Oryctolagus cuniculus: one gene and its partners. The protein of the gene in region 5 binds, or shares a complex with, the protein of the main gene of each other region. Links are inferred from orthologs where the notes say so. Each region holds a gene or a part of one and is shown on either strand. Other genes may lie near its edges. The genes, in order: STRAP, SART1, CRIPT, CWC22, SNRPD2, GEMIN2 and LSM4.

Evidence for each region.
Region 1: SNRPD2 (region 5) and STRAP share a complex: the UniProt entries of both Homo sapiens proteins name them as parts of the SMN-Sm complex. The link is inferred for Oryctolagus cuniculus from reciprocal best matches to the Homo sapiens genes SNRPD2 and STRAP.
Region 2: SNRPD2 (region 5) and SART1 share a complex: the UniProt entries of both Homo sapiens proteins name them as parts of the U4/U6-U5 tri-snRNP complex. The link is inferred for Oryctolagus cuniculus from reciprocal best matches to the Homo sapiens genes SNRPD2 and SART1.
Region 3: SNRPD2 (region 5) and CRIPT share a complex: the UniProt entries of both Homo sapiens proteins name them as parts of the minor spliceosome. The link is inferred for Oryctolagus cuniculus from reciprocal best matches to the Homo sapiens genes SNRPD2 and CRIPT.
Region 4: SNRPD2 (region 5) and CWC22 share a complex: the UniProt entries of both Homo sapiens proteins name them as parts of the minor spliceosome. The link is inferred for Oryctolagus cuniculus from reciprocal best matches to the Homo sapiens genes SNRPD2 and CWC22.
Region 6: SNRPD2 (region 5) and GEMIN2 share a complex: the UniProt entries of both Homo sapiens proteins name them as parts of the SMN-Sm complex. The link is inferred for Oryctolagus cuniculus from reciprocal best matches to the Homo sapiens genes SNRPD2 and GEMIN2.
Region 7: SNRPD2 (region 5) and LSM4 share a complex: the UniProt entries of both Homo sapiens proteins name them as parts of the U4/U6-U5 tri-snRNP complex. The link is inferred for Oryctolagus cuniculus from reciprocal best matches to the Homo sapiens genes SNRPD2 and LSM4.

Annotation. Positions count from the first base shown.
Region 1 is NC_091440.1:113,728,825-113,732,414, reverse strand, and holds part of STRAP (serine-threonine kinase receptor-associated protein), read right to left. Parts: intron 3,519-3,590; coding exon 3,381-3,518; intron 591-3,380; coding exon 454-590; intron 1-453. UniProt on the Homo sapiens protein: The SMN complex catalyzes the assembly of small nuclear ribonucleoproteins (snRNPs), the building blocks of the spliceosome, and thereby plays an important role in the splicing of cellular pre-mRNAs.
Region 2 is NC_091432.1:5,822,202-5,826,419, forward strand, and holds the start of SART1 (U4/U6.U5 tri-snRNP-associated protein 1), read right to left. Parts: upstream 2,827-4,218; 5' UTR 2,761-2,826; coding exon 2,448-2,760; intron 1,271-2,447; coding exon 1,213-1,270; intron 1-1,212. Other genes in the region: TSGA10IP (testis-specific protein 10-interacting protein), read right to left, coding at 3,801-3,921, 4,204-4,218. UniProt on the Homo sapiens protein: Plays a role in mRNA splicing as a component of the U4/U6-U5 tri-snRNP, one of the building blocks of the spliceosome. May also bind to DNA.
Region 3 is NC_091433.1:156,146,819-156,150,916, reverse strand, and holds the start of CRIPT (cysteine-rich PDZ-binding protein), read left to right. Parts: upstream 1-1,258; 5' UTR 1,259-1,395; coding exon 1,396-1,411; intron 1,412-3,099; coding exon 3,100-3,165; intron 3,166-3,818; coding exon 3,819-3,873; intron 3,874-4,098. Other genes in the region: PIGF (phosphatidylinositol-glycan biosynthesis class F protein), read right to left, coding at 190-205. UniProt on the Homo sapiens protein: As a component of the minor spliceosome, involved in the splicing of U12-type introns in pre-mRNAs. Involved in the cytoskeletal anchoring of DLG4 in excitatory synapses.
Region 4 is NC_091434.1:61,056,184-61,060,214, reverse strand, and holds the start of CWC22 (pre-mRNA-splicing factor CWC22 homolog), read right to left. Parts: upstream 2,808-4,031; 5' UTR 2,546-2,807; exon of another isoform or gene 1-2,545. UniProt on the Homo sapiens protein: Required for pre-mRNA splicing as component of the spliceosome. As a component of the minor spliceosome, involved in the splicing of U12-type introns in pre-mRNAs. Promotes exon-junction complex (EJC) assembly.
Region 5 is NC_091449.1:11,275,381-11,279,700, reverse strand, and holds the start of SNRPD2 (small nuclear ribonucleoprotein Sm D2), read right to left. Parts: upstream 2,874-4,320; 5' UTR 2,726-2,873; coding exon 2,724-2,725; exon of another isoform or gene 2,488-2,723; intron 1,517-2,487; coding exon 1,337-1,516; intron 1-1,336. Other genes in the region: QPCTL (glutaminyl-peptide cyclotransferase-like protein), read left to right, coding at 3,458-3,652, 4,035-4,178. UniProt on the Homo sapiens protein: Plays a role in pre-mRNA splicing as a core component of the spliceosomal U1, U2, U4 and U5 small nuclear ribonucleoproteins (snRNPs), the building blocks of the spliceosome.
Region 6 is NC_091443.1:36,514,752-36,518,341, forward strand, and holds part of GEMIN2 (gem-associated protein 2), read right to left. Parts: intron 1,598-3,590; coding exon 1,529-1,597; intron 425-1,528; coding exon 314-424; intron 1-313. UniProt on the Homo sapiens protein: The SMN complex catalyzes the assembly of small nuclear ribonucleoproteins (snRNPs), the building blocks of the spliceosome, and thereby plays an important role in the splicing of cellular pre-mRNAs.
Region 7 is NC_091447.1:65,595,470-65,599,726, forward strand, and holds the start of LSM4 (U6 snRNA-associated Sm-like protein LSm4), read right to left. Parts: upstream 2,844-4,257; 5' UTR 2,691-2,843; coding exon 2,688-2,690; intron 332-2,687; exon of another isoform or gene 156-331; intron 1-155. UniProt on the Homo sapiens protein: Plays a role in pre-mRNA splicing as component of the U4/U6-U5 tri-snRNP complex that is involved in spliceosome assembly, and as component of the precatalytic spliceosome (spliceosome B complex).

The DNA of each region.
Region 1 (3,590 bases), on a different chromosome or scaffold from region 5:
TCTTAAAGGCATCCCTGTAAGATGCTATAGTGCCCTTCTCCACTATTCTCTGTACAGAATCTTAGGGATTCTGAACTTAGCAAAAAGGAATGGTGGCCAGCTCACTGGGCCACGCACACCATACTTTGGAAAAAATAAATTTCCCTGTGTCTATTTAATACATAAGTTTGACATAAGATTCTCCCCTCCCCATAAAGCCTGAAAATCACTACACAATATTACAGAACATGATAAGGATGAATTTCAGCTAAAAGAAAAAGACAACATTAAATTCAGCATATTTTGCTTATAGATCTATAAAAGTTCCTATCTAAAATGGATAAATACTTCTCACTTCTAAACATCAAGGTTTAGTTGGATGAAAAATATGCTTCCAACATGGTATATACATAAATGAAACATTAATTTTTGGAACTCAGCATTTGATAAAAGGAAAAAGGGAGGATAACTTACCTAACTCTTCCCCACTATTATAATCATACTTATAAAGTTTAAAATCTTCACCACCTGCAACAAGAAATTCTTTCTCAGGATGAAGAGATGCAGAATTGATGGTTGCAGGAGCTTCAAAGGATTTAATTGGGTCCAAACTGGAAAAAAATTTAAATAATATTTACAAATTCTGAGTAAATAATGTAAATGATTTTAGTTAAACTGTTCCTAAATTCTGACACAAGGACCAATTAAATATTCAAACACAAACAATGATGTTTAAAAAAAATACTAAATAAGGGTTGGCATTGTGGCAAATGGTTCAGGCTATTGCTTGCAACAGCTTAACAGGTTGAGTTCCAGCTGCTCTGCTTCAGCTTCCTGCAAACACACCCAAGAAGGCATCAGAAGATCTTCCAAGTACTCAGGCTCCTACGGGCAGTGACCCGGATCGAGTTCCTGGCTCTTGACTTCAGCCTGGCCCAGAACTGGTTGCTATAGCCATTTGGGGAATGAGCCAGTCGCTGGAAAATCTCTTTGTCATTTTATACTTTACCACTCCTCCTCTGCCTTTCAAAAACAAAACAAGAAAAAACAAACCAAAAAACAAGACTTGATAATGTTATTAGCAAAAAAGGTGCCTAAGGATCCTGTGCCCACCTGGAATTCATCTCAGGAATATAAAGACATTTCAAGAGGGATACCCACATCTTGAGCAGCAGATACCATCCTGGAAATGAGTTTCTCTGCTAATTAAAACTGCATGGAAAATATTGGGATTTTTGCTTTAAAAAATTATATTCTGTATTGTTTTGATTTTTCTTCAACAGGCACACATTGCTTTTGTAAACAGATAAAGGTTTTACAGTAGGTAATGAATTACTCTAACATAAAGGATTATAGGTATGTTATTCTCAATTGTGAGGGTTTAAGCTTTTGCAACAAGAAAATGCTATAAATATGAACCTGTGAAAAACAGCTGTTGTTATTATCATGTAGTAAAAGAATGACTAAAATTTGAGGCCACAGTTACATATGAAAAAAATCAATGCATAGTAACAGCTTTAGCTGAAGAATCAATTAGTTTGGAGACTGGCTCTTTTTCAGTTCAACCCTGAAAATGATGAAAGGCCTCAAATACACAACATACCATTCAGGCCCTTAAAGTCACTCCTCTGTTCCCATCACCTCATAATATAAAGCATGAAAATTCAAGTAGCCATGACTTACTCAGGGTCACTTGTTGGCTCAACTGTTCAATAGGGGGTGGTTGTTGTGGAGCAGTAGGTTAAGCCACAGATTAGGTTACCTTCCCTTATTTCATTTCTGAGTGCCATTTCCAGTCCTGGAATCCCCATTTCCAATCCAGCTTCCTGCCACTGCATCCTAGGAGGCAGCAGGTGATAGCTTAAGTGCCTGGGCCCCTGCTACCCTTGCTGGAGACCCAGATGGAATACTGGACTCCCGGTTTCAGCCTAGCCCAAGTTTGGTTATTGTGGGTATTTGGGGAGTGAATCAGCAGATAGAAGGAAGATAGATCTCCCTTTCCTCCCCTACCAACCCCATTGTCACTTTCTCACTCTTGCTGTGCCTTAAAGTATATGAAAATAATTTTTTTAAAAAAAGAAAGTTATTCCATAGGTCAGCAAATCTCTGCCACTAAAATGGAACTTGGAGCAACATTCTCCAGTAGGACTGCATGTTGTACCGCTCCAAAAGAGAACAATATGGTTGTACAGTTTGATGTGGCTGGGATACAGCATTCTATTATCATCAATTCATGTGTGTGTGTACCTCCTTTACATTCTGAATTGCTTTACTCCAATTTTAATCCTTTCTTTTTCTCTTCCATTCAGTGAACCTTAGCACTGCAAATGGCACTGTAGACAAAATGTCAGAATTGCTGGTCTCATGTTGTATAATCCTTGTGGAAATCAACAAGTTATAAGTGACACATATAACTAAGAACTTTAGACTCATTCCTACCCTTGGAACTGATAATAGTACTTATAAGATTCTAAGGAAACACTGAGAAATAAGTACCTCAGTTACTGCAGGCTTAAAACAGTGCACTGGTAATTTATTGTAATTCACAATGCAATGTATCTAGCAAATCTGTTTTCCAAGATATATCTTAGAATATTTTTAAACAACAAGGCCTAATTACATTACGGCCTTCATTTAAAAACACACAAGCATAAATAAAACAAAAAAAATGGCAGAAAATACAGCCATTAGTAGTTTGGAATCTTCTTATAAGATTTTGAGTCAATTATTCTTAATTATATCATATTTTCCAAAATTTTTACAAGAGCACTTATTGTATTTCTAGTCACAAAACTTAAGTCTTTTTTTTTTTTAAAGATTTATTTTATTTATTTGAAAGACAGAGTTAGAGAGAGGGAGGGAGGGAGGGAGAGAAATCTTCCATCCTCTAGTTTACTCCCCAAATGTCCACAACAGCTGGGGTTGAGCCTCCAAATTTCCCACACAGGGGCCCGAGGACTTGGGCCATCTTCTGCTGGTTTTCCAGGCACATCAGCAGGCAGCTGGACTGAATTGGAGCAACTGGGAATAGAATTGGTGTCCATATGGGATGTCGGTGTTCCAGGTAGTGGCTTAACCTATGGCTTAACCTGTTATGCCACAATGCTGGCCCCGTTTTTTTTAAAAAGAGGTCTGTATATACTTGGGGATATGAAAAAAAAAAAAAAAACTATTTTTCTCTATTCAAGATAACCACAGTTTTACACAATAAACATTAATTATAAACATCAATCCAATGGTTCTTTTAAGAAAAACAATTTCAACATTTAATTGTACCAATAATTGACTTAAACACCTGGAATTTGATTAACTCCTCTGATTAAAGTATACCAAATTCTCATAAAAACACATTATGGCCCCCATCACCCAAAACAGAAAATGGAGGAATTTCCTAGACTTACCTTACTGCACTATGAAAAGCAATAGATCGTCCGTAAGTTATAACCAAGATCTCTCCTTCAGGAATATACTCCATACTACTAACAGACATATTAAAATTTAGAGATTTCACTTCCGTCATAGTAGCATGATCCCAAAGGCTGCGAAAAGAAAAGATCAAAATGTGGCAATATTTACTCATTTAATTTACTCATGTTAAGAAAACTTACAAT
Region 2 (4,218 bases), on a different chromosome or scaffold from region 5:
CATTGGGAAGGGAACGGGGACCCTAGGCCTGGCTGCCCCAACCAGTGAGCGCCACCTCCCTCTGGCCCTTGGGTGACCCCACACTCTCCCAGCAGTCAGCTCGGGCAGAGAGCCCCTGCCCGCCCGGGGGGAGAGCCCTTGCCCACCCTGGGGGAGCCCCTGCCCGCCCTGGGAGAGAGCCCCTGCCCGCCCGGGGGGAGAGCCCTTGCCCACCCTGGGAGAGAGCCCCCTGCCCGCCCTGGGAGAGAGCCCCTGCCCGACCTGGGAGAGAGCCCCTGCCCGCCCTGGGAGGGAGCCCCTGCCCGCCCTGGGAGAGAGCCCCTGCCCACCCTGGGAGAGAGCCCCTGCCCACCCTGGGGGAGCCCCTGCCCGCCCTGGGAGAGAGCCCCTGCCCACCCTGGGAGAGAGCCCCCTGCCCGCCCAGGGGCACCCCTGCCTGCCCAGAGAGAGCCCCTGCCCGCCCTGGGAGGGAGCCCCTGCCCGCCCTGGGAGAGAGCCCCTGCCCGCCCTAGGGGAGCCCCTGCCCGCCCTGGGAGAGAGCCCCCTGCCCGCCCAGGGAGAGAGCCCCTGCCCACCCTGGGAGAGCCCCTGCCCGCCCTGGGAGAGAGCCCCTGCCCGCCCTGGGAGAGAGCCCCTGCCCACCCTGGGAGAGAGCCCCTGCCCACCCTGGGAGAGAGCCCCCTGCCCGCCCTGGGAGAGAGCCCCTGCCCGCCCTGGGAGAGCCCCTGCCCGCCCTGGGAGAGATCCCCCTGCCCGCCCTGGGAGAGAGCCCCTGCCCACCCTGGGAGAGCCCCTGCCCGCCCTGGGAGAGCCCCTGCCTGCCCAGGGGGAGCCCCCTGCCCGCCCTGGGAGAGAGCCCCTGCCCACCCAGGAGGAGAGCCCCTGCCCGCCCTGGGAGAGAGCCCCCTGCCCGCCCGGGGGCACCCCTGCCTGCCCAGAGAGAGCCCCTGCCCGCCCTGAGAGCGAGCCCCTGCCCACCCTGGGAGAGAGCCCCTGCCCGCCCTAGGGGAGCCCCTGCCCGCCCTGGGAGAGAGCCCCCTGCCCGCCCAGGGAGAGAGCCCCTGCCCACCCTGGGAGAGCCCCTGCCCGCCCTGAGAGAGAGCCCCTGCCCGCCCTGGGAGAGAGCCCCTGCCCGCCCAGGGGGAGAGCCCCTGCCCACCCTGGGGGGGAGCCCCTGCCCGCCCAGGGCTGCGGCAGACGCAGGGCTCTCACTTGGTCTCCTCGATGCTGAGAGATGAGGCATCTCCGGAGCTGGTTTTGGAGCCGGCAGCTGGAACGACAAGCGGCGGGGCTCAGGGGCTGTGGGGCTGCGGGGCTGCGGGGCTCGGGGGCTGCCGGGCCAAGGAGCCGGCCCCGCTAGCTCGGACGTGCCCCAGGGTCTATCAGCCGGCAGAAGGCAGCGGCCCGGCGGGCTCCCAGAGCTCTGCTCCTACGTCCCCTCCTCACCCAAGACGGCCACGTCCTGCCTCCCTCCCTCCCTCTGCCCTCTCTGCTTCTCTATCCCCTGTGCCCCTGCCCCTGCCCCGGCCACATCGTAACCGAGGGCAAGACCAACCAGCCCTGACGCTGCGGCACGGGCAGTCATGTCGGGGTCTGGCCGCCCCCACGGGGCGGGGGTGGTGCCGCAACGCGGCCGTGTCCCGGGTGCCACCCAGGCGGTCAGGAGCAAACAGTGTCTGTTCTGCGCTGCATGTGGGGCTCAGGCGCAAAGCATTTGGGGCCTCCTCCAGCCCCAGGTGAACCCCGGAGAGGAGGGAGCTGGGCACCGTGAGCCGGCCCTCCCCGCACCCCCCACCCTCCCCCTCTACCCCACAGCTGCCTCCTGCACCCCGGCCCCCGCCTCGTGTCACCCCCTCCTCCTAGCACACTCTCGCCCCACGCACCCCGACACGAGCCTTCCGGGTGTCCCCGACCCTTGGGCGACTCATCTCCTCTGTGGCATCTTCCTGGGCCCGCTACTAAAACCCCAGCACTCCCCAAGCCCTGGCCCCGCCGCTGGCCACACCCTCGCAGGGGGCTTCCGGGGCTTCCTAGACCCTCTCGGTGCCCCCACGCACTCTCAGAGCCCAGGGCATCACCCCCTGCCCGCCTCTGTCACCCTCCCCCAACCACCGGGTCCCGGTACTCCCTCCTCGCAGGGGCAGCTTCCCTCCCCCGCCAGCCCTCCTGCCGACCTCTGGCCACGACCTCATGCCTCACTGCCTGGGGTCTCCACCACGAACCCCACGCGCGCCGCGCGCCAGCGAGCCACCTGCTGAGACCGCACGCTTCCGTCCACCCAACACGGAACCCCGCAAAACGAGAACCTGCGTGCTCACGGGGCTGAGCGGACAAAGCCGAGCCCAGGCCCGAATGGCCGGTCGGGGGCTCTGCTCACTGCTGAGCCCAGAGCCCCGGGCAGCACCGCGGACACTGCCGGGCTCCCGGGGCCCCGCCCCGCCCCTCACCGGCCTCGTAGCCGTCATCGCGCTTCTCCCGCTTCACGCGCCGCTCCGAGGGCTCGGCCTGGCTGCGATCCCGCCCGTGCGCACTGCTACGGGCCTCGGCCTCGGCCCCGCGCCGCCCGCTCCCGCGCTCGCTCCCGCGCTCCCGGCTCCGCTTCCGTCGTTCGCCGCCGCTGCTGCCGCCGCCTCCACTCCGGTGTTTGTGCTTCTTGTGCTCCCGATGGCGCGGCGGCTGCTCGGCGGCGCCCCCAGTGCTGGCCGCCGCCGTCGTCCCGGCGGCCTCCTTCTCCCCACGGTGCTTCTTTGACGACCCCATGGTGGTCCGTCCGCCTGGAGCCGGGCAGCCGCCGAGCCCCGACGACGCAAAATGGGAACACTTCCGGGTCGCACGGCAGCCGCTGTCCTGTTGCCGGAAACCAAGAGCGGCCGCTTCCGGCGTGCGCGTTGGCGCTTGCCCCGGAGGCTCATGGGAAGGCGGGGACGGGCTCGGATCCCGACGGGGCTCTGGCGGCCAGCCCTGGGCCGAGCGGCGCTCAGCTCGCTGGCTTTCCCGCTGCGCGCGCCCCTTACGGGCGCAGGATTAGCTTGGAGGAGACGGGATCGCAGAATGTTAGGGACCTAGAGGCCATCTAAGCCAGCGCCCCGGAGCTGGAAGCCCCTCAGGGCCGGCCCTGGGCAGGTGGTCCATTCCAGTGGACTCCGGGGATCTCGGCCCCATCGGGCAGCCCAGCCTCTGGGCGCTGTAAGCAGCGAGCGCTGCCTTTGCACGGGTCCCTGAGCTGAGCTGAGCTGGATTTTTTTTTTTTTTTTTTTTTTTTTTTTTTTTTTTTTGGACAGGCAGAGTTAGACAGTGAGAGAGAGACAGAGAGAAAGGTCTTCCTTCTGTTGGGTCACCCCTCAAATGGCCACTACGGCCAGCGTGCTGCGCCGATCCAAAGCCAGGAGCCAGGTGCTTCTCCTGGTCTCCCATGCGGGTGCAGGGCCCAAGCACTTGGGCCATCCTCCACTGCACTCCCGGGCCACAGCAGAGAGCTGGCCTGGAAGAGGAGCAACCGGGAGAGAATCTGGCACCCCGACCGAGACTAGAACCCGGGGTGCCGGTGCTGGCCTTGTTTTTGAACCTCTGCTGTGAGCTGCTCAGGGAAGTAGCCTTAAAGGCCGCGTCCGTTGTGCCCTGGTCACTCGTGAACTGGCCCCAGGACATATGGGGGAGATGGAATAGAGAGAAACGGCCATTGCTCTTCGAGACGTCCACTGGGGAGCAGGGCCAGGGCTGTGGGGACAGAGCCAATCCTTCCCACTGGCGGCTTCCCCACCACCACCACAGACCCCCACGCTGAGTTTGCCACAAAACCTTTAATTTTTATCTCGGGGACCGCTCGCCAGGTCCACGCTGGGGGTCAGGTGCCTGTCAGGCTGGCCTCCGGGGGGCTCCATCCTTGGGCTCTGCCTGCTCGTCTCCGCGGACCTGTGGCTCCTTAAAGACAGACAGCGGCCGCTGAGCACAGCTCCCACTCCCACGTGCGTCCCAGCCCGGCAGCCGTCCTGGCTTCCCGTGCGGCCCTGGGTGGACGACCGCCCCTCCTCAAGTCCCCGCTGGCTTGTGAAGTGGCCCACGGTCCCTGCCCTGAACCGTGTACGTGGGGTGACCCACGCGGCCCCCGCCCAGCCTGCCTTGGCCTCCTGTTTGCTGCTGTGTCCCTGGGCGAGGCCCTGCCCCTTGGGCCTCAGCGTGGCTGCCCTGGCCCCGCGGCCTCACCTGGGTTTCCGGGAG
Region 3 (4,098 bases), on a different chromosome or scaffold from region 5:
GGACACACTGGAATATTCAAGTGGCAGCCTAGGCAACCAAAGAACTCAAAGAGCATTACCCTAAACTAAGGGATCCCTAGACTCTAGCATTTCCAAAATGACTAGGTCTGTTACAGGTGCTAGATTCCAATCAAGAATAAAACATGAATGGAGGCAGAAAAAATTTTACTGTCTCATGTATTTAGTTACCTGAGAGCTTATGCATTGTATTGGCAGTGTGGAGTACAGACTTTATTAAATAGTCAACGTGTTACACTGTGAATATTCCACCAAACAGAAACAGCCCTAAAAAATACATAAAAGCATATGTGGGTGGGGAGAGGATGGAGCTCACTGGCGAATAGCTCTTATTTGATTCCCGCGGTCATTTATCAAAGGCAAGTAGTTTACTGATTAAACAAGAAAAACAAGTCAGGAGACTTGTTCCAAGCTCCCCAGCGCTACAGACATAAAGGGACACACGAGGGATCCGGTAGAGAACGGGCGACAAGCAGGGACAAAGTTTCTCAGACTCTCAGCTGCCTGCGGGTCGGGTAGGGGGAACAGAAATCCATTCTCTCAACAGATCCCCCTTACTTTCTCTGGGCCACCCTCGGAATCCCAGCAGCAGAAGCCACACTCCAGCGCCTGCTCAAAGAACGAAGGAACCCGGGCAGGTGAAGCGCCTGCCCTTCTCGGCGGGCCCACGAGGACACCTGCCGGGCGCGCCTTCGCGGGGCCACCGCCACGGCGCCGGCGATCTCGGCCCGCCCACGCCGGCCAGCAGGGCGCCGGCGAGCCCTCCCGGGGCAGCCGCCGCCCGGGTCGCGGACTTCATCCGCAGCCCCACCCCACACCGGGTCACTGGGGCTCGGCCCGTCAGCCGGCGAAAGCTGAGGGACGCGGGCAGGAACGCGCCTGAGAAAGAGGAGCGGTCCAGCAGGGGAGCCCCTGGGTCACGCGGAAGGAGGCCCTCCGAGGGCCGGCGGGGGCGCGCAAGCTCGCGACCACTCGGGCAGTTGGCGGAGGCGCCTTCCACACCTCCCAGAGGAGAACGCAGCCAACGGGGCTTACCTAACTCTCCCGCCCGCGAAGGGAAAGGGAACTACTGCCTCCCACCATCAAGGCACAACGGGCTGCCCCAGCCCACGCGCAGGCGCAAGCGCGCGGGGCGGAGACCCACGGTCGCACAGCCAATCGCAGAAGGGGATGGGCGGACAAACGAGGCAGCCCCGCCTACCCGCTGGCGTTCATGCCTCCCGCGGCTTTCCAGGCGTAGGATTGGCGGGAGCGGAGGATTAGGGGCCGGAAGTAGATTGACGTAGCCCGGAAGGAAAATTCTTCCCAGGCTGTAGTGTTGATGTTTTCAAGCTGCGGCTGATTCTGGGGCGAGGAGGGCGAATCGTCGGCGGAAAGATGGTGTGCGAAAAATGTGAGTTAAGGGGCCGCTTGTGTGGGGAGAGGAGGCTGGGAGAACTTACTCGGACTCTCCTGGGAACTTGGTTTTTCCTTTTCCCACAGGTCTCTAAGTCTAGCCTGTGTTCTCCCACCCTTGCCCTGTGACCCTTCCTGCCCCTCATCGACTGTGTAATCCCGTATATTTTGTCATCAGAATGGCCTTAGTTCTGCACCTTTTTGCCCATTGCCGTCGCCGCCTTCTGGCTCTCGCCTCATCAGTTACGGCTTCTCGACCGCCTCCGTCAGGCTTAAAATGGACCTTAAAAGTCATTTCTGTAGCGTGTGGAGTTGCGAGATCTAGCAATTCCAGACCTCCAATTGAATTTTAATTTAAGATAAACAACGAATACTTTTTTTTAGTGCTGTAAGTATGCCCCATTCGGTTATTTAGGACGTGCCTTACTAAATTGGCTTCGTTGCTTATTCTGAATGCATCCCATCCTATGAAAGAAACAGTATCTGGGTGGGGGAGGCTGGAGACCCCCACGACCTACGAAGAAGTCTCTGCAAGGAGGCATTGCTGGCTTGAGGAAAGTATTTTCCTCTGTGGTTGCCACCCAGTGTTTTTAATTCAAACTCTTAAGATTTGTAGAAAATACACCCTGTGGACCTACCAAGCTGTTTATGTGTTTAAAAGCAGCTGTCAAGTTCCCAAATCCTCTCCCTCTGGCTCTTCTGTGACAAGAGTTCCACTCCTCTTAATCCTGATTATGGTCTAATGAACATGACCTGTGGGCATCCCCGTGGTAGATGGATACAGTCTGGACACACAGACCCATGGCAAAGCTGCGTGGTGTTCCCAGATTTCCCATCTGAAAATGAGAACGCAACATAAGCCTTGGGTTTTTTTGAGAATTACATGAAATGACATAGGTAATGCCTGGTACAAAGGTCCCTAGTGTGTCCTCTGTCATAACTCACTACTGCGTGACACAGAATTAAACTCTGCTCCATATGTGGGCCAGAGTGCAACTAATGCCTCCCTCCTTCTGGATACTACACCACATACCATTGTTGCCTTACATTAAGCTTTAAGAAAATAACCATTAAGACGTAATTCACATGCCATGCAATTCATGCACTTTAAGTGTACAATTCACTGGTTTTCAGTATATTCAGAGTTGTGCAGTGTGATCATAGGCTGACCTGTCCATCCCTTCAGAAAGTGCATGATCTTACTTGACACTGACTGTCTGTAACTCTGCTTCATCTTGTACTTGCAGTGGTTTTTGGACTTGTGTGTGTATTTGAGTAAGTTTGAATTAAATATCTTTATATTATGTGCTGGCCCAAATGTCTCATCTCTTAGGTGTGGTTCTTAAATCTCTAACTTTGGCCTCCCATGTAATTTGTGTTAGTCTGTCACTTGGGATGCTTGTATCCCAGATTAGAGTGTCTGGGTTTTGCATCCTTGGATGTGAGTCCCAGTTCCACTCCCAACCAGTGAATGGGAAACCACCTGCCTCCCCAACCTGCATTTCAAACAAATAAAATAAAATTTTTTTAAAAAAAATCTTGAATCTCAGTTCACTAGCCTCTACCCCAGCATTAACAGGCTCCCACTGTAATATGACTGTTGATGGCATTGGGAGCCTTGGCACCATGTGGTGTATTTATTAACTAGCAAGTTATAATGCCCCTTTTACTATTTTATCACAACAGGTGAAAAGAAACTTGGCACTGTTATCACTCCGGATACATGGAAGGATGGTGCAAGAAATACCACAGGTATTTTTTTTCTTTTGGAAAACAGAAATTGAATTAAATACCACCTGTGAATAATATATTTTTACATTTATTTGTAAAGTGAGATGTTGTATTCTCAGAGTATCTTGTCTATAAAGAATATACGGGGTCCCCCAGTGATTTAATGCCTTCTCTCTAGTTCTCCCAGTTACATGCACAGGTTCCTAACATAGTAAGCAGGAGATAGCAAACCTACTAAATATTTTCAAGTGATGAGTGTGTCATAGTGTAGAGTCCGAATTTAATTTCTCCTCTCCTCACCTAGTTTTTATCTTCTTTATAAAAAAAAAATTACTTAAGCTGTTTTCACCAGGAAGGAAACGAAAGTTGAACTGGACTCAGAGTCTGTGACACCAAAGTAGTAACTTCTAGATTTTATAGTGGATGGAGTAAATGTAGACTCACCCCTAAAGTACTGCTTGCTGTCTGAGTAAGAAAACTGCATCTCACATAAACGTCATTGTTTCCCTAATATTTTCTAAGTAGCATCTCAAAAACTTAGCTATTTCACGAGAATTTAAAAATTTTGATATAGGCTATTCTAATGGTGGGAGGTCAAAGGATGAACTTCTAACTGAATTAGTAGGTGTGATGTTAAGTATGTAGAAATAACTTACTGAAATATTTTGATACAGAAAGTGGTGGAAGAAAGCTGAATGAAAATAAAGCTTTGACTTCAAAAAAAGCAAGGTGGGTAAGAGCCTCTGTGGAGCCGTCGTGTAAGTTCCCACTCCTGAGACTAAGCATGCGGGAGTGAATTTACTGTTCATCATTGCATTGTGCTCAAAGCATGAGAGGTCCTGGCAGAGGGAGCCAGGGATCTGGTGTAACCTGCTGGTTAGCACTGTTCCTTCTCACTGTGTCAGCCTCTGGAGATACCAGTGCCACGGTCTCTATAATTGGACCAGAAGACAT
Region 4 (4,031 bases), on a different chromosome or scaffold from region 5:
ACTCTCTCTTTAGCCAGCTATTCTTCAATTACAGGAGCTCTTGATGTGTCCCCAGGCCTAAGCAGCCCATAGTCCCTTTCTGGTGTCTGCTCACTGGGAAGTCTTGCTAGCCTGGCTACAGTAGCAAAGGTCTGCTTTAATGTACTGCTTCTTCTCCTGAAGTTCTCTTTTTAAAGAAAATGCTTTGAGAGTGTACTTTGTTGAAAGCCTCGAAATGTCTCTTTTCAATGTTCACTTGAGAAATGCTTGCAGTAGGAAACCAGCAGGCCTTATTGTCCCATTACCCTCCAATGGCAGAACTGTCAGACTTTAACAGAAAGGGAAATTCAACAAGGAAGCCCTCCAAAACATAGGTGGAATCATATATATATATATTACCAATAGCCCCTTTTTTCTTACTTAGAATAGCTCTAGGATAGTCATGACTAAGTTAGGGATAAACCAGGTAGAGCAAAATTCAGTCTACATACAAGATGGCAATAAATAGCAACTACCGTTCAAGTTAAGGCATAGTATAGGCACATAAAGGGTACTACAGACACATAAAGTGCCACTGTCTCCTTTGTTGAAGTGATGTCAAATACAAACCACTGTAGGTCATTTGGCAATGCAAAATTATGAGATAATCTCTAACAATTCAGCAAATGAGAAAACTAACAAAGAAAGGTGTTTTATAAAAGTAGTTAAGTAGTCTAGGAAGCATCAGAATTGCAAAAGTGAGTAAGCCAAACTACCCAAAGCAGGGAAGGATGTGGTGAAATAATAATGATGGGAAACTGGTTGGCCACGAATCAAATAATTTGGAACAAAGAGGGCAGGCAACCTGATTTGGGGAACCACAGCATATCTCTAAGGCATTAGCTTTTTTATGGTCTGGTAAAAAACATACAGATGGGTCCCATGCCCCAGTTTTTGATTCAACAATTATTACATGACTAACAAGTTCCAAGGAGATACCGGTGCTGCCGACTTGGAAAACCACATTTTAGGAACCACTAAGCCAGGGTAATAGAAAAAGCTTTTTGGCCTCTAAAGTACCAGTAAAAGAATCTCAGAACTCCAATGAGTTAGGAAAGATTCCACAAAAGTGACACGAGCACTTAAAAGTGGCAACATTCAGAAGCAAAGAACAAGCACTAAGGAACAGAGAAAACTCATTAACTCTATCATATATTAACAATGTTAAAACACCGGAGGCCAGCCCGGGAGCACACTGCCGGACATGCAATGCCTTCAGACTCAACCAGTGAGCCAGGCAGTTATTATTACAACTATTATTACCTTTAGACAAGGACTCTGAGACTAAAGATGTTAGTACACTTGCCCCAAGTGATAAATCTAATAATCACTGAAGCAAGACTGCAATCTCTGGCTTGCCAGTCCATCACCCAGCACCCACACAAGTCATTTCCTCCTCCTATAGACAACTGCCTGCAGCAACGCTTCCAAAACCGCACTTTTAACGCTAATCCTAAGTCTGCCCTTCCACAGGATAACTGATGTTAACTCCTGTGTTCCTAAATAAATCTAAATGCAGATAGGGAAGAGGGAGGCTAACTGATCTTTTTTAAGACCAACTTTGTTCGTTTATCTGCTATTTCTAGTCTGTTGATATCGCATAACACAAAGGAAACTCATCACATTTAAATCACCCAACTCCTACACCCAGAATAGCCTTTTCCCAAATTTCTCATTCTCACTCCCCTCAAAGCACGGAGGATTAAGTAAATACAGGTAAAGACGCTATTTCAGTTAGTCCAAGCAAAATTAACTATCATATCACCATTACATTGAAGTGTATTGTAGGACTCCAGAGCTCAGCAGAGAGTGACGAACCGGAGGACCAAGTTAAGGAGTTGTCAATCTTATTGGAAGTGGTTCAACTAACGGCAGGACGAAAGATGATAGATGAAGACAATGGAAAAGGAGGGGTTCCCAGGACTAAACATCTGTAAGTATCAGTAAATGGCAGGGCAAATACATGAAAAAGAAACCACTAGTGAAATTTTACAAAGAGAGTCACAGGGATAGTACTCCGCCGAGAGGCTTTAAAGTCAGTTAGCTATCTCTTAAATGAACTATAGTTCATTAATCCTATTCCCGAGTCCCTGGGACCCGGGCACTAGGTAGGGGCCTGGGCAAGCCCCCTAACTCGAGAGGTTCGAAGTGACCCGCGCCCAAAACACTGCACACGGCGGGAGGAAGAACCAGCTCGGATGCAGTCACCCAGCAACTGAGACACGGCCAAGGTACGGCGCAGGAACCTCATGAGCCTGAGGTCCGTCCGCGCAGGCGGAGAGCCAGCTCACGGCTGCCCACTCTCCACCTGACGGGGCGACTCGGCCCAACCCGCTCGCTTAGCCCAACCTCGCGGGCCCGCGCGTGGCGGGAGGACGGCAACGCGCTCCCGGGGCCGCCCACAGCCGGACCCGGCGGCATACTCCCCCCGCCCACAGACCTCCTCACTATCCCTCCCGGTCCAACAACCCGCGACCCCCCACTGCAGTTGCCTCCCCGGGACGACTCGACCGAGTTCGATAATTACCTAGAGCTCCACCGCGGCGCCATTACACCGGATGCACGTCACTTCCCCTTCCCGGGCACCGGCAAGAGGAGGAAGGCGGAGCGTGAAGTACGTAAAAACCGGACGCTCATTTGGGTTTGACGCGCTTTGCCTATTAGGTTATCTTAAACACCACATCACAACGCCAGATTGAAAGCAGTGCATCTAATCATACTGTCTCCTTACCAACACGGCAACGAAAAGCAAGTAGACCCGAACTACAAAGACCAGCATCCTCCCTCTCGTCAGACGGAAATGACTAACCGCAATTGTAGTTTTAGCGCGAGAAAGCCCCAGTGGACGATGGGAATTGTAGTTCTTGGATATAAGCATCTGCGACTGCCTCCAGGCTGCTCACAGAATACCTGAGAGTAATTAGGGTTTGATAAGATTAATTATAATCCAAAACTGTTTCTCTGCGGTTGGCAGAAAAGTAGTCCTCTGTGGTCACGTTTCCGTGAAAATATTAAAAAACAGAAATCCTCTCAGACATTTTGGTTTGACCAAGAGCATATTAAGCAAAATGTTACTAAATGATTAAGTGCCTACTAAGTTCCAAGAGAATATTAGCCCATTAATAGACTGAGAGAAGCTAATTCTGTGAAGACGATGATGTCTCTCTTTGGGCTAAGATACCAGGTGACAAGACACTGTCGAGATAAAGAGATTCCGCAGCTGAGTTAGAAACTGTCTTATACAGAGTTCAGAGGTAGGGCTTCAATCAAACAATTTCCTTGAACTTTCGTTTTTGCAATCACAAAACCCAGAAGTCCAAGTAATTGTTAACTGTTTGGGGAGTTCTCTTGCTTTTTTAAACCAGGACTGGTTTCTGCAAATACTTCATTACAATTTTAGGTTATTTGTGCTTCTAACTCTTTCCTAGTTGCAGAGATTAAAGGCATTAAAAAACAAAATGGAGCTGGGCTACTTATGCTTAAACGATGGATTTATTCATGAATCATTGACTTCGAGTAAGTTACTTCACATTCTGTGTCCATTTCCTGATTTGTAAGGAGTAAAAGCAGTACCCACCTATATTCTGTTTTATCAATGATGCAATGCTTGATATACAACTGCAATTGGGCTAATACTTGGTTGAAGTTGCTATAGTCTATAATAATTATCCTAATTCAGTTGATTTCTTTAGATCAGACCGTCAAAATTAATTGGAGCTATGTTGGCATTATCATAAAACCTTGACATTTTTCTGGATATCATTTAAAAAATTTTTTTTTCTATTCTGGGTATCATTAAACTCTACTATTCACATATGACACTGATTTTGATTGCTCTCTTGGCCAAGAGAGAAAGTTCAAAGACTTTTGCTTAGCCTTATCCACTGTTACAGTTTGGATGATAGTTTGTGTGTTCCCCAAAGGTCTGTAGGTTGAGGACTTGATCCTCAAAGTCTTATGTTAACCATTAACAGGTCAATGTTAATGGTTGAAGGATTAAGGGTTGAGGCTTA
Region 5 (4,320 bases):
GCTAATCCTCCGCCTAGCGGCGCCGGCACACCGGGTTCTAGTCCCGGTCGGGGCGCCGGATTCTGTCCCGGTTGCCCCTCTTCCAGGCCAGCTCTCTGCTGTGGCCAGGGAGTGCAGTGGAGGATGGCCCAGGTGCTTGGGCCCTGCACCCCATGGGAGATCAGGAAAAGCACCTGGCTCCTGGCATCGGATCAGCAGCGCGCCGACCGCGGCGGCCATTGGAGGGTGAACCAACGGCAAAAGGAAGACCTTTCTCTCTGTCTCTCTCTCTCACTGTCCACTCTGCCTGTCAAAAAAAAAAAAAAAAAAAAAAAAAAGGCTAAGAAGCCCCCATCTTCCAACACATGTGATGTTTCAGTCACACCACACTCCTGCGGATCTGTGACCACCAGGGGGGCGGTCCCTGGAGGGAGGGCGCAGGAAGGAGATCGCCCGTCATCAGGTGCCTGTTTGAATGAACCCGCCCCACCTGCACACACTGCGCATTCAGTCGCGGGTGGGAGGGGCTGAGGGGGCAGGCAACAGCCCGCTGGCCGCAGTGTTCTCAGGCCAGGACCAGCAGAACCGGGCGGCAGGAGAGCGCCTGGAAGGTTCTCCTGCAGGACCGAGCCCTGCCAGGGGCACCTCTGCAAGGCTGTGGGCACCACAAAGGACGGCCAGGGGCACGGTGAGTGCGTGAGTGAGACACCACAGAACACACGGGGGCGGCGCTGTGGTTGGTGGGCTGACGCCCTGGCCTGCAGCGCCAGCATCCCACAAGGGTGCCGGTTCGAGGCCCGGCTGCTCCTCTTCGATCCAGCTCTCTGCTGTGGCCTGGGAAAGCAAAAGATGGCCCAAGTGCTTGGGCCCCTGCATCCACGTGGTAGACCAGGAGAAGCTCCTGGCTCCTGGTCAGCTCAGCTCAGTGAACCAGCGGATGGAAGACCTCTCTGTGTCTCTATCCATAACTCTACCTCTCAAAATAAATAAAATATTAAAAGCCTGCCTGCGTGCTACCCCCGGCTCTGGCCCCACTGTGGACATCCGGGGAGTGCCCAGCAGGTGGGAGCTCTCTCCGTCTCTCCGCTTCTCTTTCAATGAATGAACCAAAAGGTGTCCTGTGGCCAGGCACTTCATGCGTGTTAAGTCACCGCATCTCTGTATCCACCGCGACGACTGCCTGCCACTGTGCGGACAAGATAACGGCACGCGCTGAGGGTCGCCTGGCCGCTCAGAGGGACAGCACAGCAGGGGCCGGCTGGCGCCCACCGCAGGGCAGGGCGGGAGGCGCGGCCTCGGAGGAGCCCCGCCCGCAGGCCCCTCCCTCCCGGGCCAGGCCCCGCCCCCGGCCGCGCACCTGTCGAAGGCCTTCACGCGGCCCAGCAGCTTCTTGTTGTTGCGGCAGTTGATGAGCACCTGCGTGTTGTTCTTGACCGACTGCGTGAGCACGGAGAGCGGGCCCGTGTTGAACTCCTCCTCCTCCCGCTTCTGCAGCTCCTCGGGGGTCATCTCGCTCTTGGGCTTGTTGAGGAGGCTCCTGACGGGGGAGGAGGGACCCGCGGGTGAGGGGAGGAGCCGGGGCCGCCCCCCAGCCCTGCCGGCCTGGTCTCTAGGCATCAGCACCTGGAAGCCACCAGCCATCCCCAACCCCGCCCGCCCCGGCTCAGCTCCCGCTAGGCCCCCTCCCCAGCCTGCTGCACCCAGGGCACACCACTCCCTGGGGGGTAAGTCCGCCCTTCTCATTGGCCGGGCAGAAGCGGACGTCCACTCCTCTTTCGTCTCCCACGGCAACTCGGACAGCAGCCACTGTCAGGACTTGCTCTACGGCGCCCCCACCTTCCTCCCCCTGGCGTCTGACGCCCACTGCCCCACAATCGGACGCTTGTCCCTCGGCATCCACAGGGGGCTGGTCCCAGGATCCGCGTTGCCCGGGTCCCGGAAGCCTCAGCGGCTCGGATCCCTTAGGTGGGATGGCGGGGACGCACACACACACACCCTGCGCACACCTCCCGCTCGCTAAGTCATCTCCAGGTTACAGCGTAACGGGACCTGACTGTGCTGCGACCCCGTGGAGCCCGGGCAACAGTCACAGGAGAAAGGCCTGCCCGGCCACTCGGGGCTGGCCAGCCTCGGTGTTCAGAACAGCACTCGGGCGCCGGCTTAAAAACCAGCCTGCCGTAGTCCCGCTCGGCAGGGCCGAATCAATGCGTCTGCCGGCCGTACCCCTCCCCCCGGCCGGCTGCAGAATCCGACCTCCGTGCCAGGGCTACCTGCACCCAGGGGCAGCCTGGGGGCCGTGCGCAAGCCTAACTCACGGCAGCCTCTTCGGAACCCTCCCAGGGCCCCCGGCTGAGCCTGCAGCCCCAGCCGCGGCGTCGTTGCGAATCAGGCCGAGCAGCCACGGCCCCCGGCCCCAGCTCACGTTCCAAGCCCCTCGCCCCCAATCGCTATGCCTAAAAGCCCGCGCCCGCTCCCCGGCTTCTGTAACTCGAGAAGCCGCTTCTTAACCTTCACTCCAGCGAGCTGATGACGCGGAGGAGCCGCTGCCCGTTCTCTCACAGAGCTGGCGGCCCTCGCGGACTCAGGGTCCGCCAGAGGCCCCGGGGGCCGGTCCCACGCTCATTACAGAAAATTCGCCCGAGAGCTCTGCTCCGCCCCCGGCGCTGCCGCCCCCTTCCGCCGCTAATCGGCCGCATTCGCACCCACAACCTCACGCCCGCCGCTTAAGCCCAGCCCGGCCTCACATGGTGCCGGCCCCGCGTTCGGGTCACTCTCACTCCAACCTCCTCCGCGTTGCTTCTGCCTCTGCGGATGGAGCGCGAGAGGGGCGGGACTTCCGCTTCCGGCGGGCCACTTCCGTGGGCGCCTGCGCAAACCCACCCGGCGGGCTGGGGCGTGGCTTGTTGCCATAGCGACCCCCGCCGGCTGCGCAGCGAGGGGGCCGAAGCCGCGAGCGGCAGTTCGAGGCCTTTAAGGACCACAGCGGGCAGGTGTTCATCGGGATGGAGAGACCAAGACAGAGAGTCCGAGTCGCGCCGCTTCGTGGTAGAGGCGGGACAGGCTGCAGGAGGGAAACGGCCAGAGGTTTCTAAATGCCCGCCAGCCCCGTCTCCGGGGGCGCGGCCTCCACGAAGCCAATCCGGTCCCGGCTTCGGGGCCTGACGCCTCGCTGGATCTTCCCGTCCCGCGGAACCAATCCCTTTCCGCGGCCGGGCGCTGCCCATTGGCTTTACCCGCTCCGCCGGGGCGGGCCGCACGCCTTCGCGTCCCCTCTGGGGGTTGTGCAACCCCTCTGGGAGCCAATCGCGACACCCCGGGCCTCCGGGGAGGCTTGTCCTCGGGAGCTGCACCCGGCTCGCCGGGCCGGGGTGGTGCCCGGCGCTCTTGTCGCTCATTGGCTTTGTGATTCCATGGGGTGGGACTTGGCTGGGCCTGAACTCCATCCGCGGTCCCTGGCCGGTTTCAGGGCAAAGCTGCCATGCGTCCCGGGGGCCGCGGGCGGCCCCGGCCCCGGCTCGGGGAGCGCGGCCTGATGGAGCCGAGCTCGCCGCTCAAGCGCCGCCTGCTCCCGCGGGCGCAGCTGCTGCCCGTGCTGCTGCTGGCGCTGGCCGTGGGCTCGGCCCTCTACACGCTGTGGGGCAGCTGGCACCGCAGGACCGAGGAGCTGCCGCGGGTGAGGCTGGGCGCGGCGCGGGCACTGGAGGGCCCTCTCTCCCCGCTTCCTCTTTCCGAGTTTCGGTTTGACGTGGCGCTACCTGGGGCCCTGGCCGCAGGTGCCACCGGCTGCCTCCCCGGAGCGCAAGCCCCCTCCCAACGCGCCCCCTGGAAAGAAAGGCTCCGGAGTCGTCAGGATGAGGGTTTTGGGTTCCACGCCCGAAAGGCAACTCTTGGAAGCCTCCCTTCCCCTCGCTGGGCTTCGGTTTCCATGTCACGATCGAGGGGTAGGCTAAACCGGGTGGGCTTGGAGAGACTTTGATCCTGGAAGTCTCCCATGCCGCGGAGGCACCCGGGCTTTTGGGGGGAGGGAGCAGTGCGCTCATTCTTCTCTTCTTTAGACGCCGCTGACCGGAAGTCTCCCGGAGGCCCGGCTGCGGAGGGTGGTGGGGCAGCTGGACCTGCAGCGCCTCTGGGGCACTTTCCTGCGACCGCTGCTTGTTGTGCGAGCCCCGGGCACTCCGGGCAGTCTCCAAGTCAGAAAGGTACGAGGCCCCGTCTCCTCTCCCAGCGCTGACCCGCCCCCACCCCCACACACACCTAGCCCAGCGGGGCATGGGAAGCGGGGGTCCTGTCCAAGGGTCCCGGAGCGGCGGAGGGGCAGGAGCCAGGCACTGACTCGAGTCT
Region 6 (3,590 bases), on a different chromosome or scaffold from region 5:
AAATCTTTAAAAAAAAATAATGGCCAAAACTCCAGCAGGCATCTGGAATCCTGAGATGAACCTGAGGAAGCCACATGTGGCAGAACCCAAAGGCCTGGGTTACTGCTATATTACATCTTGTCTGCCTACTTCCTTTATCTGAGGACAACAATGCCATTTTATTTAAGTTGCTAGTATTTTCCACTTTCTTGTTATGTGGCCAATTCTAATTGCAACTAACAAAATATGCCAAAGGTCTCCCTTCTATTGGAATTTTTCACCACTATAAAAACTGCTGGATGCTTTCAATTTGGAAAAGTGAGGTGAAACTTACCACTAAGAGCCTCACTTCAGAGCACCTTCTTGCAAGCTGCCGAATCAATGAGTGAGCCTCAGGTAATAAAGGTTTTTCAAGACAAGCCAATAAAGCATAAAGCCATCTTCCCTAAATAGGATTAAAAAAAAAACTATTAAATCACAAGTTTAAATATTCTAAGCTGTGCCTGGTTATCTTCCATGAATAAATTCATACAACTCATTACTGTGTTACATTTAGACCCTCAGATACACTCTTTCACAAATATCTTTAGCTGTGAAACACTGCTGGTTTCTAAAAACTAAATCTTTCAAAGATGATAAAATTTATTAAAATTAGAAAGAACAAACAGGTAATTCATTTAAAAATATTCATCAAATTAACCCAACTTTTAAGGCCAAAAAAAAATGAGTTGTGAATATAAAGCAATAAAGTAAACACAGTGTAGCATAGTTCTAACAGTGTAGAAATAGAGCCAGACTGCCCTGACTTGAGTCTGAATTCTGCCAATTACAAGCTGTATTATGTTAATTGAGTATTGTGGATAATAACAGTTAATAAATTGTTGAGGGCCCAATGAATTATTATATGTAAGGTTCTTAGAATAATGTCTAGCATGTAGTACTTGCTGTTGTTGTTACTTCTGATCCTTTTGTGGACTGATTTCAAGGTCATTTTAGAAAATGCATTCTAAACTTTAACCAGTGCCACTGGAAGTGGGGTTTGCAGACTTGTTGCCAGCCTGTGAGCACACTGTTACTGCTCAGCACTGAGATAAGTAGTTTGTACCAGGATATAAATTAACTCTTTGGTTGACATTTGTCCTCTTCCCCCTCCCTGCCAAAGGAAGACTTTGTCAACGAAGGAAGCAGTATGTTGATTTACACCCTGGTGTAGGTTCCTTATTGCACCACAAACAAGCATAGTTCAGATTACACGTATACTGTCATGTATCACTTAAGGACAGGGCCACATTCTGAGAAATACATTATCAGGCTATCATGTCATTATGCATACACATAGCAAGTACTTACACAAACTAAGACCAGGCTATATAATCTTAGAGGACCACTACTGTAGATGAAGCCCTCCTTGCCCAAAAACATCATGGTGTGGCACAAGGCTAGTAACACATTTGAGTATACACACACACACACACAAATACCATACAGTCACACCTCATGTATCCTATGAAAATAAAACTGAATTATGAAAATAAAAAGATAACACTACCAATTCTGGAGTAAAGTCTCTTTCTCCAAACCAATTACTCAGATATTCCAAGACACTAGTTACTGTTGCCTAAAAAGAAGGGGGGGGGGGGATAGTGGCACAGAACAGTTATAATATTAGTAATAAATACTGACAAATTCAATAGGAGTTTCACTAAATTTAGTTAGAAAGCAACATTTAAGATTGTCTCATTCTTTAGATTTCCAAAGAAAACTGACTCATTAATAAGAGTCACCTCTGGGAATAGGCTTTCTTTTTTCCAAAAAAACCAAAGAAACCTTTTATTTAAGGAATACAAACTTCAGAATTTCTTAAGTACAAATTTAGGAATACAGTAATTCTTCCCATCATACCTGCCCTCCCTCCTACCCACACTCCCACCCCTCTTCTTCTTCCCTCTCCCATTCCCAGTCCCATTCTCCACTAAGATGCATACCCTCCAATGGCCGCCACGGCCAGCGCGCTGCAGCTGGCGCACCGTGCTGATCCGAAGCCAGGAGCCAGGTGCTTCTCCTGGTCTCCCATGGGGTGCAGGGCCCAAGCACTTGGGCCATCCTCCACTGCACTCCCGGGCCACAACAGAGAGCTGGCCTGGAAGAGGGGCAACCGGGACAGAATCCGGCGCCCCGACCGGGACTAGAACCCGGTGTGCCAGTGCCACAAGGCGGAGGATTAGCCTACTGAGCTACAGCACCGGCCCTAAGATGCATTTTCAATCAACTTTATACACAGAAGATCAACTCTATACTAAGTAAAGAGTTCAACAATTTGCACACACACACACAAAACTGTTTCTCAACACTTGAGACAAGGGCTGTTCAAGGTCATTATATCTCGAAGTTAATTTTACCTTTTTTTTTTTTTTTGAGAAAATTAAGTTTAAAGAAGCATTCAAGAATGATACATCTTTTGGGAGCAATTAGACATAACTATAACTTATGAGACATAAGACCTCCACTTAATAAAAGAAAATAAGTCCTTGAGAACAAATTTTATCATTAGTTAAGGAAGCACCTAAGAAAACAAGCAAAGGAGTTGGACACTTAGGCAGATGTAAAACTTATGAGACTTAAAAATATCATTCACTTAATACACTAAAACAAAATAAATCTTTGAGAACAAGTTTCACTGTTAACTATGATAACACAACTCTTTGGAGGACAGAGGTCTTGCATGGGAAGTTAGTGCACAATGACTCCTGTTGTTAATTTAACAATTAACACTCTTATGTATGATGTCAGTGACCACCTGAGGCTCTTGACAAGTGCTGTCTAAGGTATGTAAGCCTTCTGAATTCACAAACTCCGTCAGAACTGTATGGACTTATTTTCTTTTACTGTATAAATCAAGGTCTTATAAGTTATAGGTATGTCTAATTGCTCACAAAAGATGTATCGTTCTTGGTGCTTCTTTAAAGTTAATTAAGTCAGAATTTGTTAAAATTTAGACAAGGCCATAAGCAAAGTGGAAGTTCTCTCCTCCCTGCAGAAAAAAGTACATCCTTCTTTGATGACCACCACTTCTACTGGAGTTTCACCCACAGAAGTCCTTCATGTAGGACATTTTTTGCCATAGTGTCTTGGCTTTCCATGCCTGAAATGATCTCCATGGGCTTTTCAGGTAGACCAGAATGCTTTAAGGGCTGATTCTGAGGTCAGAGTGCTACTTAAAGCAATTGTCATTCTATCAGTCTGCTTTATGAACTGATGCCCATGTTGGAGCATTGACTCCTTTTTAATTCTATTATTACAGAAATGTAATCCAGACACTTACTCCTATTTATATGAATGCTTTAACACTTAAAATGCTATTTTTACCATCCAGCTTAAGGGGATTTGGGGTGGGAATAGGCTTCTAAGACAAATATTCCTATACTTTCAAATATCAATGAATGCCTTGATTAAAATACTAGGATTTAGTTTGTAACTACTAATATAATTTAAAACTATTTGAAAAACTTGACAAACTCTTCAAAAAAAGAGTCTTTACCTTTAGTCCATTTCTCAATTCAAAACAAAGTACAAATCTGAAGAAACAAATCTAGAAAGACCTGTTTTACAGC
Region 7 (4,257 bases), on a different chromosome or scaffold from region 5:
GCCCCAGGCGGCCCACGTGCAGAAGGAGCCCGCTGTGCAGAGAGAACATTCCAGAACACACGCAGGCCCGGGCCGAGCGGGGACGGCTCCACGCAGGGCCCATAGGCCGCGCCAAGACTTCAGGTCTACGCAAGGCCCGCTCTGCTCATTTTTACCAATAACCGCGCGGATTTACAGGGGTGTGCGCTGGGCGTCCTGGTCAGGGCGGCTGCGTCCCAGGCTGGGGGCCCCCGGGTAGGGCCCGCTCAGCTCCCCGCGCATGCGCGCCCTGGCTGGGAGCCCCGGGATGGCGCTCCGGGCTCTGGGGAGTGACTGCGCACGTGGGACCTCTCTCCCTCCCATAAAGTAAATAAATCACGCGCCTGGCTGGATGAGCCCAGCTGAGGTGCAGATATGACCGCATTCAGAAAGTTCACGGAGGAGCCTGGGGCCTGCAGGGCGCCCGTATCTCTGCCTTTCAAACAACTAAAGGCCGGGCCGAAGCCAGGGCCTCCATCCGGGTCTCCCGCGTGGGCGGTGGGGGCGGGGGCCCAGCGCGGGGCCCTCCCCTCCCCGCTGCCTCCCAGGCCCTCCGCAGGGAGCCGGTGCTCCCGGGATGCTGCGCCTGCGGGGGGCTCCTGGGCCACCCCCTGCCATGGTCTGGGGCCCTGGCCTGTGTGCGGAAGCGCAGGGACCGCGTCCGTCCCAGGGCAGCCCCCCGCCCCAGGGGAGCCGGCGGGCGGACAGCTGGGGGCGCTGTGGAGCTGAGCCCCGGCTCTGACGCAGCTCCTGCGCGGGGCACAGCTGAAGATGACCCAGTGCTCCGGTCACCGGGCCAGGGTGGGGTGGGCGTGACCTGTCCAGGAGGGACCCCCTCCGGGTCTGCCAGGGGCCGCGCGGGCGTCAGAGGACCTGAGTCTGCTCCAACCGGCAGGAACCCCCGCCCCACGCAAGGCGGCTCCGCCAGTGGGCGATGGCCTGCGCCCCCCAGCCTCCTGCGTGAGCTAGGAGGAGACCCCCCCCCCGCCGCGGGCCCTCCCCAGCAGCGCCCCTGGGGGAGGGGAGGCCGGGGGCAGCAGGAAGCCAGGCCCAAGCCCACTTCCTGCCCCGGCTTCCTGGAGGCCGGGCTCAGGAGGAAGAAGGGGCCACGTGGAGAGGGGGCGGCGGTGGGGGCGGGGCGGCCCCTGCTTGTCATCTGGATGCCGTGTGTCGCCAGCCACGCTGGGGCGCAGGGACACAGGGCCTCACGCTGGCTGGGGGTGGGGCTTCTCTCCCCGCCACAGGCACCTGGGCGCTCGCCCCGGCCCGTGACCCCGGCAGGTGGCAGCCACAGCCCCGGGGCCGCCTCCCTCCGCCCCCTGTCACCTCCCTGGGCCAGGCCCAGCTAATGGGCACCCTGGGGCGCGCGGCTGTTTATTTCATTATAGGCTGCAGCCGGCGTCTAATTATCGCGTGTGTTTATTACCTGTCTCCCCGGCTAGACTGGAAAACCCGCAGTGGGCGTGGAGGCTGCCCCCGCGGGAGGGCGCGCGGGCGCGGGGGCCAGGGTAAATATTTGCAGGAGGTTAAGGCAGCACCACCCCGGGCCCGGCGGCCGCCAAGGAAAGGGAGGAGCGGGAGCCACAGGTCCAAGGGGAGGAACTAGGAGCGCCCGCGCGGAGGGGCAGGCGCAGCCCAGGGCGCTTCGCTTCCCCGCAGACCGGCTAGGGACACCCGCGCCCATCCCGAGTCCCGGCTGCTCCACTTCCCGCCCAGCTCGCCGCTAACGCGCCTGGGAAAACAGTGGAAGATGGCCCAAGCGCTCGGGCCCCTGCACCTGCGTGGGAGACCCGGACGGAGCTCCTTGGGGCCCTGCACCTGCGCGGGAGACCCGGATGGAGCTCCTTGGGGCCCTGCACCTGCGTGGGAGACGCGGACGGAGCTCCTTGGGGCCGTGCACCTGCGTGGGAGACCCGGACGGAGCGCCTGGGGGGGCCGGCACCTGCGTGGGAGACCCGGGTGCAGCTCCTGGCCTGGCTCTGCCCCAGCCCCGAGCCGTCTGGGGCTTTTCTGCACCTGCCTTTCCCTCTCTTTCCAGTGCGTAAAAACCAAAGACAAAGACGACACCCAAGGGCTCCTAACTCGGGGCGACCCTCCGTGGGCGCCCCCACCCCAGGCCCCGCCCTGACCACAGGACTCCTGCACCCCTGGGCCAGGAAACTCGGCAGCAGGCGGAAGCTGGGGACTCCCAGGGGCAGTGCCCGCCAGCCGTGGTGGCCAGCCCCGCCGTCAGGCGTGCAGCGGGCGCCGGCCACCGGGCCCCGGCTCTGAGAAACGCACGGCCCCGCTTTGGGGACCCTGCCCTGGGCCGGAAGCCCCCAGCGGCACCCACGAGCCACAGTGCCCGACGGCGGGGTCCCCGCCCCCTCCGGCCTCAGTTTCCCCGTCTGGAAAGTGGACAGCGCGCAGCTGACCTGCTGAGCCTTGATTAACGGCGGCCCAGCCGTGAACCTCGGAGAACAACGTACTGGTGCCCCGGGCGAGGCACCTGCCGTCTCGGGTCAGTTTCCCCGGCTCGGGGCTGGGGGCGGGACTGGACGCTGCGCCCGCACGTCCGGAGCGCACCGCCCCGACCCCCACGGCCCAACCCGAAGGCCGCCGACGGCCGCGTGCCCACCCCCAGCCGCACCCCGCCTCCCGGTCAGACCCCGACGGCGCCCGGCCCTCACCATGGTGTCGGCGGGGACCGGGCTCCCCGGCCACTTCCGCCGCCGCCGCCGCCGATCACGCTGCCGCCGGTCGCCGCCCCGCCGCGCGCCACAAGCCTGAAAAGGAGTGGCAGGAGCGGGAGCCAGTCACCGCGGGGCGACGGGGACGCATAACCAATCCCCGGACAGAAGGGCGGGTCTTCGAAGCACGAGGGGGTGGGACTAACTTCCCGCCAGAAGAATCCGCGACGGAGCCGTAAAGTGCCGTGGCGAGTGATGCAAAAGGGGGCGGAGCAGCGCGCGCCGGCTGCATTGTGGGTAGCTGCGCATGCGCAGAGAGGAGCCGGTCCTGTCGCCCGGGCTCCGCGGTGTGGGCCGGGCCGTGATGGCGCCGGGTTTGCGTCTCGGTCTCGTTCTTGTGCTTGGTTGGAAGTGGGGCGGCCGGGACTCGAACCGGCGGCCCTTAGCGATGCTGGCGCAGCGCAGTCCCCGAACTAGCAGGTGACGTCAATGTGACGTCAGGTGTTTGCGGACTCGAGAGATCGGTTCCCCAGGTGAGCGTGTGGCCCGGATTTGAGGACGCCCGCGGACCAGATCCTAGTTTACTGGGTTCGAGTCCCGGCCCCGGCCACATCCCAGGGCCCGGGTTCGAGCCCCGGCCCCTGCCACATCCAAGGGCCCGGGTTCGAGCCCCGGCCCCTGCCACATCCAAGGGCCCGGGTTCGAGTCCCGGCCCTGGCCACATCTGAGCACCCGGGTTCGAAACCCGGCCCCGGCCCAGGCCATATCCGAGCGCCCTGGGTTCAAGTCCCGGTTCCATCCACATCTCAGCACCCGGGTTCAAGCCCCGGCCCTGCTGGACTGCGCACGCGGACGCTGGCCAGCAGCAGCCGTGGCTCACTGCTTGGGCCCCCGGCGACCCGGAAGGAGTTCCCAGCTCCTGGCTTTGACCTCACCTAGTGGAAGATTCTCCCCCGTCCCTGTGTCTTGCAAATAAACAAAAATAAAGTTTTTAAAGAATAAAAGGTGTGAAGAGAAAGCACACAGGAGAGAGTTTGTGGATTCTGCTTTTTTATTTTTGCCCCCAGATAACCTTAGCTTTCAAGCCCCCTCCCCCGCAGGCCCCGCGGCCCCGCCCAGGGCAGAGCCTGCCCCTCTCTGGAGTCTCCGGGCGCCGGGAGCGGGAGCGCACAGGCCCGGCCCCTCCTACGCGGGGGCCTGGGGCGCTGAAACCCAGGGTCTGCTGCGGCAGAGGCCCGGCCGGCGTAAGCTGGTTCGACGCTGGTTCGAGTCCCCTGGTTCGAGCCCCGGCTCTGCTCTGATGCCGCCAAGGCACCTGGGAGGCGGCGGGTAGGGGCTCTGCCTGTCAAATGACGGAGGGGGGTTGGGGGGAGAGCTTCTGCCCGCTGGTTCCTCCCCAGACGGCCGGTCCGGGCCAGGCTCACGCTGGGTCTCGCAGGTCCACCTGCGGCCGCCCAGGGTGCGCATGCGCAGGGAGCTGGCGGTAGGTCCGGGCCAGGCTCCATCCGGGTCTTGCAGGTCCACCTGCTGCCTTTGGGACCCGCCCCACGCGGGATCCAGCCCCGGGCTT